Linked DNA regions of Arabidopsis thaliana. The protein of the gene in region 2 purifies or fractionates together with the protein of the main gene of each other region. This does not show direct contact. Each region holds a gene or a part of one and is shown on either strand. Other genes may lie near its edges.

Evidence for each region.
Region 1: the proteins of AT3G55070 (region 2) and RanBPM purify together in Arabidopsis thaliana (affinity purification with mass spectrometry; 2 studies listed by BioGRID, with this or other methods). This does not show direct contact.

Annotation. Positions count from the first base shown.
Region 1 is NC_003070.9:13,050,422-13,057,039, forward strand, and holds RanBPM (SPla/RYanodine receptor (SPRY) domain-containing protein), read right to left. Parts: upstream 4,673-6,618; 5' UTR 4,502-4,672; coding exon 4,110-4,501; intron 3,675-4,109; coding exon 3,528-3,674; intron 3,386-3,527; coding exon 3,299-3,385; intron 3,205-3,298; coding exon 3,159-3,204; intron 2,817-3,158; coding exon 2,740-2,816; intron 2,617-2,739; coding exon 2,454-2,616; intron 2,303-2,453; coding exon 2,234-2,302; intron 2,147-2,233; coding exon 2,087-2,146; intron 1,715-2,086; coding exon 1,628-1,714; intron 1,491-1,627; coding exon 1,215-1,490; 3' UTR 736-1,214; downstream 1-735.
Region 2 is NC_003074.8:20,406,276-20,412,151, reverse strand, and holds AT3G55070 (LisH/CRA/RING-U-box domains-containing protein), read right to left. Parts: upstream 3,879-5,876; 5' UTR 3,776-3,878; coding exon 3,455-3,775; intron 3,094-3,454; coding exon 2,899-3,093; intron 2,725-2,898; coding exon 2,602-2,724; intron 2,458-2,601; coding exon 2,263-2,457; intron 1,993-2,262; coding exon 1,859-1,992; coding exon of another isoform or gene 1,855-1,858; exon of another isoform or gene 1,717-1,854; coding exon 1,530-1,716; intron 1,367-1,529; coding exon 1,265-1,366; 3' UTR 788-1,264; downstream 1-787. Other genes in the region: AT3G55080 (SET domain-containing protein), read left to right, coding at 118-206, 289-437, 527-676.

The DNA.
Region 1 (6,618 bases), on a different chromosome or scaffold from region 2:
ATTTAGGAAAATATGGATGATTTAAAAGGTAATATAAAAAAATATTATGGACATAAGAGGAGTGCAAACAACAAAATTTTGTAGTTTCCAACAAGATTAAAGTCGTAGTAAATTTTCCAAACCCCCAAAACTCTACTCCTTGTTTGTTTAGAATTTTTATAAAAAGTAAGAGACAGAACATAAATAAATAATCTAAAATTCACATGAAATATTTCTTTCAAACAATTGCGTGTAGTAAAAAAAAAAGCGAAAGGCAGCAACAACTATGAACGTACCAGAGAGTTTAGACACTCAACAGGTAAGGAGACAAAAGCTGGAATCAAACAGGTGACAGCTTTAGTCGATGGATTTCTGCAATCAATTGTTTGCTCAAGTTATTGCCTCCTATAGTCGTTGAGTATCTACACCCTCTGATATATTTGAGGTTATTGCCACCTTCAACCAAAGCATGAGAAAAATATATATGTTCAACACTCGGTATGTTTAACTATTTATAGCCAAACTTTCATTTTTTCTTGCTTTCGCATCCGATGTGGGACTCATTGCCTTTTTTCACGTGGGTTTTTAATCACAAAAGCATTGGATGAAGCTAAATATGATCAATATAGACTCTATTTACATTAGTTATTGGGCTTTTATTGGATAGGTCAAATTTCATATTTACTATTATTTTGAAAATGTGAAAATTGTAATTATAATTATTAAATTTACATTTTAAACAAGAATTTGTTTTTTCTCGATTGTTTAAAACTGATTATAATTTACAATAATATTTATTTACCATCATAACATTTATACATCGTCACATGAAATTATGAAAAGAAAATAAAAAATTAAAGATTCTCTTCATAAAAATTTCTGTTTACCATAAAATCTCTTTTTGAGAATAATTTCAGGTAACCCCAAGCGAACAAAAGTTACAAAACCCGAAAGATACCGCTAAACCCGAACACCCCCACCGCTAATTCAGTTTTTCCATTTCTGATTTGAATGTTGAAAATCTTAATTTGAATCATCTAAACTTTAAAGAACCAATAACAGTGGAAGTCCCAGTGTCTTAACGTCGAACCCATTTTTCTAACTTTCTCCTTTACATAATGGAAAGTTCAACATAATATCACACAAGTAATGAACAAAAGCCACTTATGATGATAACGACCATAGAAAAACAGAGTTTTCAAAATATATGCGCGGCTAAGCCATTTTCATCTTCTTTATCTGTTGTTGTTAAGAACATGTCGAAGCCGGAATGTTTCACCTTGGTCTCCATTCAGTGACCGCCTTTCTAAACAGCACACGGTTAACTGTCTTAGCAGTTTCTCTAGATGGGATTGCAAGTGACAGCTTCTCTGCACATCTTTCTTATTTGGATTTGTTGATAGTATTGCTGCATTCACCGCATCAGCCACTAATTCCCTCTGTGAGTCTTCTAGGAAATACCAGACCGATGATTCCTCAGGCTTTTCATACGCGAGCAAAGCAAAGCAGTCCTGAATAATCAACAAGAAAATAGAGTTCCTAAGCGAAGCAGCAACATATATAGTCTCTGTATCTGAACGCAATACATACATATTCTCAGAAACCAGATCTTGCTTGAAAGAAAAAGGAGTAAAGGAGACATTGGTACCTCGACTATATCTTGAAATCCAGTTAACCCAACAAATTTAGCTAACTCGAGTCTGCCATAGTTCACACCTTCTTCAAGTTTTCCAACCTGTTTATGCCATGTTTTTCCAAAACCATATAGTTAGAGAAATAGCCCCATCTGCATAGATGTGAAAGTGAACAAAGAAGGAATAATCCAGAGAACTAACTTAAGGTGATATTTATACACGGTGACAAGGTTCCATGCATCTATGTAACATGGTTTCCAGTGTGTTATAGGTTCTGTGCATTTTTTCACTAGTTTATGGTTTAACACCAAAGTCCATCACACAGTTCAAGCAGCTAATTTTTGTATGAGACACCAAATCCATCAAAAGCTTCCTTAATTACAAAAATTTTATTCTTATATGCACAGAGAGAGAATATTTCTGACAAGTATTAAGAACACGAAATTTAGATGGTTAAGGAATGAAGAGCATACCCGTACTAATTCAATAAACTTTTGACAGTGAAGGAGGAAGCAAACTACAGATTTATCGTCCTGCAGTAGGTACAGCCGGGTAAGACTTCGTATCACAATCCTGTGAAGTGGATCATCTCAACAATATGATAAGAAATCTCAGTTCACCTGTACAATTTGGGGATACAACTTTTGGAGTTCCGCCAAAGCAGTATCAATCTCACCATTCCTAACAAGCTACACCCAATAAAGAATGAATCAGTCCAAATTCACTAACGAAGCAGTAATTTAGTATGGGTTTGAATAGGAACCAAAAAAAGCCAGATACAAGCCTAATAAAGTTAGAAGATAACATGTCTTATATGTTAAACCGTAGCAAGTTCAATACCTGTCTAAGATTCTTTCTCTGTTTCAAAGCATAGGATGAATCATCCTCGTCAATAGCATTTTCTTGATCTATATGAATTGGAGGAACTGTATTTTTAGTAGCAAGGTTGAAAGCATCGAGTGTCTCCTCATACCCATAGTGTAGCAGGTAGGTCTTGACAAGCCTAATGATAAAGAAAACAAAATTATAGATAAAGCAGAAAGCTAGTCCAGAAGGGAAACCAAGTATTGCAATTCAAAGTTAAAAAAGTACATGATCTGTTACTGCTGGGAAGGAGTGTACTCACCCATAACCAATGTTTGGAGGTATGGATATTTTTTCAATAGCCAATTGTTGCTTATTCCTCTCTGATGCTTCATATCCCTAATAATACAGAAAGAGGGAAACAGCCCTCGTCAATTACTTAATTTCAAACATATATGTAATGGAAAGAATTTTTATGCCCTACTTCAGTGTTTAAAGATTATAACTTGAGTGCCCAAGAGTTTGAGGTTTGATTACACAGGAACAGTAAAATAGCAAATGTGAGAGCAATGTCTACAAAGAGAACCACTGCTATAGATTCGGTAACCCCAGTACCAAGAACGGACATGAGGCATACCTATTATGTGATTTCAATAGCAGTAGTCCTGGTTACACCATCCTTACTTTAGTATAAAGCTATGAGACCTAATTAACCACGTTTGAAAGGATTTTTCCTCTTACCTTAATATCGAAAGCAAATTTCTTCTTCCCAAAATTGACTAATACCCTGCCAAAATTTCAGAAAAATATGCTTTGTGTAAGAGAGAGTGAGATACATGATGGCAATGGTATTGATCTTTAAAGAGAGAGTGAGAACATACTCCTCATTTTGGCTATGTACAGCTACAGTAGGGAATAGATGACCTCTTATGTCCTTGGGGATTTTCCCAACAATAGTTCCGTTTTTACTGGCACCAACAAAAATAATCAAAAATGTCATCAGCTTTAACAGACAAAGAGTAACAGGAAAATGAATGAATCATGAATTCAACTCACAGTAGTAATGAACTTATTTAAGTACCAAAAAACATGAAACAGTTTCTTTCTTACGTGAAAAAGAACTCCTGAGAAGCGTAGTTTATACCACCGCCAACTGCATCATCTTTTGTAAACTTTGGACCAAAAGGTTCACCTTTTCCCTGTCCACGATATAGGTATCCATCATCCCCATGATATCCACAGCTGTTCACTTCCCATCTACCATTACAAAAGAAAACTATAACCTCAAATTCAAGTATTAGGCAGATAAAGCTTCTTTCAAAGGCACTATCATCCATATTTGTAAACTCAAGAACCTAGCTTTCAAATAAACCACAAAGCAATGTCCTTCGAATTTCAGATTCTTCCCTAAACCACTTCTACACAACTGAACTCACCAGAAAGAACACACACAACCTAATCCAAGAAGCTAAATCTCTATAATAACTAAACCACAACTTGGATCCCAAAACCATACCACAAACCTCAATTTCTAAAATAAACCATACCTTAAACACAACAATGATCAAGCTACAAGCTAAAACTATACTTCTTGAACTAAATCCTTCAAATTCAGATTCTTCCCTAAACAACTTCAACACACAATGATCAACAAAGATTGGATCCAAAATCCAAAGATAAAGAAAACAATACCCAGGTTGTCTACGCATTTTGAAGCTTTCCTTAGTAAAACCAATAGCAATTTGTCCTTTAATACCAGAATCTTTAACAAAAATCTCAAAGTAGTAAGTAAGACACTTGATCGGAGCAGGTTTATTAGCTTGAACAACACCAACATCGTGACCATGTAGATTCGTATTCGTGTACTTCACGGAAAGCTTATCAGGAGAAACCACAAGAAATCCGCCGGCGCTATTGATCGTATTCAACTCCGTCGGTAATTCTTCTCCTTCGTCTTCCTTCGCATCTCGTTTAGCGGAGAGACGAATCTTGTCTAAGAAGTTTAAGTTCAGATCTTGACCGTTCTCGCCGTTGTTGGTTGTATCGCCGTTGGCGGAATTCGCCGGTGGTGGTGAAGAGTTCATTGGTTTTGGTTCCGATTAGAGAAAACCCTAGAAATTTTGAGATTAGGCTCTTCAGAGGTTTTTGGAGTCTATAAGAAGAAGAACACTGAATTAGAGAATTTGTTGAGATTTCTTCTTCTCTTTGATTTATTTTTTGATCCGTTGTTTATTTTTGTGACCCGCTAGTTTCGGTATTTGTTAGACTTATTTTTTTCTTATATATATTTCTCTATATAAATTTCATAAATAATATTTAGTTATATACCAATTAGTTGGCTGTTTCAATTCATAAAAAAACACAAACTTTTTTATAAAATGTAAAATTAATCCATGTTTTATCAAATTTAATTCATACACACTTTTAAAATGTAAAATCAAATCCATGTTTTTATCAAATGTGATTCATAAAGACTTTTAATATCAAAAGTGGTTTTATTACCAAAACAAAACTTAAAATAAAAAATATTTCAAAAACAAAAGAGAAAAAACAAAAGTTTCATGGCACACTTGATTTTTCCGATCTTGAACCTTCTACTCTCGAACTACTTGTAGTCTTTCGAGTATCTCCATGGTTAAACTCATTGGTATCTTCTGTGGTACCTACAATTTACAATGAAATTTAATTAATATAATTCAATTACCTATAAAGCTTTCAATTTAAAACTCTTACCTTCATAGTCAACAAACTTGCGTAGCCAATTGCGAGTACAAAGCAAACATGAACATTTTCTGGAAGCAAGCGATTTCTATATGGAGTCAAAACCCTCGATCCAATGCTAAAAGCTGAGTTTGATGCTACTTTAGTAATAGGAATGCTAAGGACATCGCATGTCATAGAAGCTAAACCGCCAAATCGATTCTGATTATCTTTCCAATAGCTTAAGACATCCAAATTTCGAAAAAGACTTTCACTCTCATCCAAATAAATATCCAAGTGTGTCTTTGTGTTGTTCACACCGTCTTCAATACTTCTTTCTAGTTCAAATAGATCTTATGTTACAAAAACTCACATTAAGTTAATTCACCAAGTTCCAACTTTATACAATATCATCAAATTCTTCTCGAGCCCTTTAATTTTTAACTTATAAGTAGTAGAATTTACTTTCTTTTAAGCTACTTCAAGCATCTTCAATTTAAGCTTCGGATCCAAAACTGCTCTCATAGCCAAAATGAGACTATAATCTTCCCAATACTCGGAAAATTTACCATGCATCTCTTGAGCCACTTGCTCAACAACATCATCATCACAAATAGCATACTTCTTCAGCAACAACTCAATCCTCCATATTTGTGTAAAGTATACATTGGATGTGGGATACTTAGAGCCTAAAAAGTAAGTGATAATAACACTAAAAGGTTTCAATAGATCAAAAATTTATCATTGGTATCAAAAGCTTTCATGCTAACAAACGCTTCTCTAAACTTCAACGCTCTAGCAAGCATTTCATCTTTCTACATGCCATGTTCATATTCCGAACAAAAAAATTGCATTCAAACGATTAAAAGAAAGAAAAAAAATTGGTATGCCCGAATTTTTTGTTGAATAATTACAAACTTTATTTTTGCATTCGAACTTATTTTTCCCCAAAATTGCTAAATCAAAGAAGCATCAGAACAATGAAGTTTATATGTGATATGTTTGTCTTTTGTTTTGATTGAATTTCTTCTTCATTCTTTTTTTGCATTATTGAAAATTATCAAACATTATTTCAATTTTAGAGGTTTGAAAATCTAAAGGTAAACTAGATAAGGATCCACGATGTGCAGCGTGAGGAAATATTTGTGGCAATTTTGGTTTGATAGTTTACATCATAAATCATAATCATAATATTTTCTATTTAATAAAATTTATTTTGTAATTTTCTGTATTTAATTTATTGTGTCATACTCCAATATAATTCCGCAATTGGATCAGTAAATTCGATAATCCTACGCTAATCCACCCAATGTTAAAATCCGTTGGATCATACTCTATGTTTTTGTAATCTATTTTGGATCTATACTCTATGTTCTTGTTTTTTTATAAAGAAAGAAAATGAATCAAATACTGAATGAGTTAAAACAATAGCAGACATACATATAAAATAGTGTGCACATTGAAGTGCTGCTAAATTTTTTAAAATCTTAAATATATTGTA
Region 2 (5,876 bases):
TTAAGAGTGATGTGAACAGTGGATAGGAAAATACCAATGAACCTACTTCTTTAGAATTGGTTTCAGTAACAGTGCTTTTTACATGTGTATCTAAGTGTACTTTTGGTGATCTCTCAGGGAAGTGAAATCTGCTATAGGGAAAGGAAAAGGCATTCCACAATCTCTCCGTGCATTTGCTCGTGTTCTCTGTTGTATCATTCCCCAAGGTGCTCAAATCAAATTAGTCACTCTCTTTTATCATCTTGCGAGGCTAATTCCAAAAGTATTAACAGTATAGTTGATTCTCAGAGCTAAATGATTTGTCAAAAGAAGCTGCACAAAATGATGGCCGACTAGCTCGGCTTCCTTTTAAAGACGGGAACAGAGAGTTGGAGGCACATAAGATCCTCTTGTCTCACATCAACAGATTGATTGAGGATCATAGTGTTTGCATCAAGGTACTATAGAACGCTTTACTCAACTAATTTCCACACAATGACTGACAATGTAGGTTTTGAAAAACGTTTATTGGTGGGTGCCTTTGCAGGAAATGGAAGAATGCTATTTTGTATCACAAAGATTTGCTGTTAGAAGGCAGATGGCAAGAGATCTCCTATACGGTGAGCTTCGTGTACTGAGATCTGCAGCTGAATGGCTCAATCATTATTGCACAACCTTGCTTTCAGAGACAATGTAATCGATTTTACAGTCTCTACGATAGCAATATACCAATAAATTGAGATATTGGAGTGAATAAAAAGATTAGTGTTACTCTATTTCTTAATCCGGAATTATACCTCGTTCCATTTCCGAAGCCAACAAACAAAAGAGAAATGATGAACATGTTGAATCAGGATGGTATCCAAATAGATGAAACCAGACAGAACCAAATTATACACCTCAAGTGAGGAAACTGATAGTAGAATCGGAACTGTGGTTTGTGAAATGGTAGTGGGACAATAAAGTGTACTTTGCCGGTTGATTTATACAGAAACTACTAGTGGATAAGAAGAAAAACATGAATAAAAATATCAGAGCAAAGCAGCCAAACATGTTTCCACTAAAACCATGTTGACTAGAAAATTGTCATAAGACTGAAATGAAGAAATGGCTTGATATACAAAGGAACGAGCTGTTTCTAAAGTGATGCAAAGTTTTATCTGCAAGTGCATATTCACAAAGAGTAATGGAGAAAGTTGGAAATTTCAGTTTCTTTGGCCTTAATACTGTCCTCCCAGTCATCCATTGAAAAGGTGACCAAAGTGAGGATTATGAGCATATGGGTTCATGATATATATGCCTTAACTAACTCCGTGTAGTTGCAGACAAGCCCTGTCCTTGGACATGTTATTTTACCTCCATTCTTTTCCGCCATTTCCTTGAGAGCCTGCAAGTTCATTTACCCATCAAATAAATAAAAAAAGTAACCCAACTTTAAATTTTTTGAACTGTATAGGATAGACTGATGTAACTGATCAAGCTAATAGAAAAAGATTCTAAAAAGAGAAAAAGAACAGAGAAGCTGAAGTTGTACAAGAACAGAATCAAACCTTGGTGCTGTAGACGTAGCCATTGGGCAGCACCTGTGGTGGGTTCTCTGTGTCCATTAGCTCCTTAGAAATATAGCAAACAAGCTTTGAATGGTGCTGCTTGGAGAACGGTAAAGGCAAAGCTAGCTTCCGAAAGTTCTCTTGTGAGAGAGGGTCCTCTTTGGTACAACCTTCTTCTAAACCATATCTGAGTCATATCAAGGTACAAACGCAACCCACCAGTAAGAATCACATTAGGGTGTCATTTCGAAAACTTACTTTCTGCCCCTTTATCAGATGCAGAAAATAGACAATCAAAAACATCAATTTTGATAGAGTTTGATCGTTACGGAGTTTTCAGCGCAGACAAGCCTGCCTGTAAGTAGATGTTCAATAAGGGTTCCATCGTCATGCCATATAACTTGCAAAATTCTTGTTTAAACTGATCAACTAAAACATCCCACTGTCGTAGTTCAAACAAAACCTGAGAAAAAAGAAAAACATATCTGTTAGTTGATTAGCCTAAATACATGCAATGATCAATTAAGATTCGACAAGAGTTGAAAGTAACACAACTAATTCGGCAATAAACAAAGACGAAAAAGATTACTGAAGCAGCCTGGTGTATGAAAGAAACAGTGAAATCTATATCCACGTTTTTGGGCCATTTCAGACAAAATCAATCATTAGGAAAAGATACAAGTTGAAGCGTCAATTTTCAACAGTTATATAATCAAAAGAAGGAAAACTTCACCTTATATTTTGAGCATTCTGTGGTACTTTTAAAAGCCAAAGTGGCCAGAACATGCTGCAATTCTTTCATATGGGTTGTTCCCCATGATGCCAGATGCTTTCGAGCATACTGGATTGCTTTTTTGTAGCTCTCAGCTGTATCAACTCGTACCAACTCGATGAATTCTTGCAGCCTTAGTTGGAACTCAAATTTGCTCTGTTATGAAAAGGAAAATATATAATTAGCAATGAACAATTATACATAGAGTTCTGGTAAAAAATTGGATACTTTAGCCAAACCACATGGAGTTCATAAAAAATGAAAGTAAAACTTAACCATGAGAGTACATAGAGCACGTACCTTTGACTTTTTCAACCGCGTTTTGTTATCAGCACACCATGTCAATGCAGAAGCTACCTCCCTATTTTTAAGGGCATCAATCACCTTCTTAGCTTCTCGAAATATGTCAATGTCGACAAGGTCCTGAAAAGATGAGATATTTATAATTAGCATTTCATAGAGATGCAGTACAAATCAACAAATCTGTTTCACTGCTTGTAAAAACGAAACAGCAAAGAATATGTTCTGATATATTAACCAAGACAGCAATATAGCATAATAGTGTGATATAATGAGTGTCAAGAGGATGAGAGAAACCATAATATTGCTGCTTTCCGAAAGCTTTGTAGCAGTCTCGAAATATGACATCCGCAGCATGTAGTCTACAAGAATCCGTTTCAGTTTGGTATTATTCCATTCAGTAATATTTTCCACATCTACTGAATCCAAATGATCGATGCGAGCACGACATCTCTGGGCTTGCAAATTCTCCACATTGCTCCCTTCTTCCAACTGAGATACAAAACCAAAAAAATACGTAAGCCAGGCCATATCCATGTGATGTTACTCCAGAAGATATAGAAACTATCCCAAATGATAAAAATTTAGAAGACAATGCAAATAGTCAGATGGGAAGTTCCAATGAACCAACTCCACCACTACATTGAATTCATCGAGATCCAATGTCTAGTGAGACATAATTGCCAAAGACAGATACTTTACTTTGATCTTCAACATCGAAGATCAAATTTTTTACAGATAAGTGGATATCATTTAGCAAAATCAGAAACTTTAATCGCTAAATTAATTGATTCAGTTTCGTCTACATAATTTAAAACACCGATCACAGAGGGAGAGAGACGGAAAAATCAACCTTTCGTTTGAGGCCTTGTAATCGAGTAACAAGGCAAGTAAGACGCGAAACGGTATCGTCTTTAGACCAATCGGAATCAGCCAATTCTCCGACGCCGTTAACAATGGTTGAGACCTCTTTCTCGAAAGAACGGTGATTGGTACGGATCGTCTTCTTGTAATGCTCGAAAGGAACGCGGAGGAGCTGGTGCTCAAGCTTGAGAGATTCCGTAAATTGATTCGATCTCGAAGACGAGACGACGACCGGCGACGGAGTGATCGTAGCGGCGGATTCCGTCATGACGGTGTCAGAGTTTCCGTTGGTGGCGGAATCGATTTCCATGGCAAGAAAATGGGAGGAAGAAGTTAGCAGAAATTTTGCAGAGAGAGTTTAGATTTTGCCTTGTGGTGGTGATCTTGATTGATTGATATATGTATGAGAAGAAAAAAAACTACAGAAGAAATAAATAGTGCCAAGTGAAACGGCGTCGTTGGTTTGTGGTACTCTATAGTTCAAAACGACAGCGTTTGAAAAGGTAGGAAACCGTCCGGTCTGATCTAATCCCTAACCGAGAGTATGTTTTGATTTTTGGGCTTTGTCATTTTAGTTTGCAGCAACGTTTGATCCAGTACCAGGTCCAGTTGATGAAACAAAAATAGTCTAGGATTCCCAATTTTTGATTAATATATAACTAGTCTATACAAAATATTAATATACAGATATTTTTAATTATTAAAAACCCTTTTTTTACTGAAATTAAATTTACCTTGTGAAAAAATATCTCAAAATAAAGTCTTTTTTTTTTTGGGCTTTCAAAATATTAGGACTGATCGTGATTATACCTAATATGTTATGAGTAAAACTAAAATATGGCCAAAGTATCAATGCAAAAAAAAAAAAAAAAAAAAAATTTAACACATGATGTGTGGTCAATATATAATTCCAAGTGTAAAAAAACTATATATAGATAATATTTTATTTATAGAAAATATAATTATAAATATATGATGTCAGATTTCTATCTAAAATAACGCATTACTTCTCTTTTATATTATTTCAATTTATTACGGGCAACTATGTGTCGAAATACTATATGTATTGTTTAAATACTAGGTGCTATTGCCAAACATAAAGAAGAAAAATAAAGCATGAAAGTAAATTGAGAAATAACCTTATCATTTTTGTTAGATTTCTCGACTTTTATACCAAATTTATAATTATATAATTGATTATGAGCGTAGTTGGTAATTTATAGTATTAGGTATGGTGGTATACATACACCTTCCCGGTCTCAAAGCTTATCAACAACAAAAACGGTATCATACCAACAATTCTTATCGTTATCACTTCAAAACTGTATCATAATTACCTCATATCACTCAAACCTATATATTTTATTATACTTATCTTAAAACAACTAAATACCCTACATTTAATTTGTAATTTACAAGTTTTTCCAATGTTGTTATTGATCACTGTTATGTGTTGTTAGTGAAAAACAAATAATTGTAGCCCCGCTCCTCCAAAAGTCCAAATGGCTCTATCCGCCGCGCAATGAAAGATTTAAAAAGGTTACCAGAAATACCCTTCACTGGATACTCTATTTACATTATCACACCGCCAATAAAGATTTTTGGAGCCGTTTTGTTCTTTTGGATTCTTCGTCGTCAACGAGACACTCTCACACTTCTTGCACTTCTCCCTTTAGATCAAATCCACGTTATCTAGCGCTGTTATTAAATCTGCGTTTCAGTTTCTTCTCCATTCGAATTTTCGATTTGCAAAATCGCTGTTTTATGGTATGTTCATAAATTCTAAAGATCTTCCCTTTTGAAATTTTAAAATTTTTCTCTGTGTTTCTTTGGTTTTCTTTAAAGCCAATTGTGTCGTCATAAAAAGCTGTCGCCTCTCAGTGTTTTTTTTTCCTTTTTCTTTCAATTTTCCAACTATTAGAAGAGAGTAGAGAGAGTAGAGTTGGATTTTCTGGCGACGAAATCGATTGAGATCGTTTAAAGAGAGAGCCTTTCTAGATTTTGTTAGTGTTCGAGTAATCTCGCCGAACATAATCTTCATCAACTTCTCCGCAAGTAGGATTTAGGTTCGATTTGTGATTTGATTAGTCTCTAGGGTTTATCGTAGCTTTGAAGATGCTTAGGGTAGTCTGGTCTTTTATTTTAGGCCTTGGCTCGATGTTTACTATGATAAGTCTTGAGTTTCTGAATCTCTGAGTAGAGTTATAGTTGATTATCTCGAGTCTAAGATCATTTATGCTGTTTTTTCTCATTTCTTTTGTTGAACTGGTTTATCTTTCATCGAGCAAATTGTTTGTAAGATTCACTTGGAGCACTTTTTTTGGAGATTGACATGAACTAATTTGCTGCAAAATGTGAACTTTTCCTAGTTTAGTGCAGGAGATATCTTACAATCTATTGATTTGCTTCTA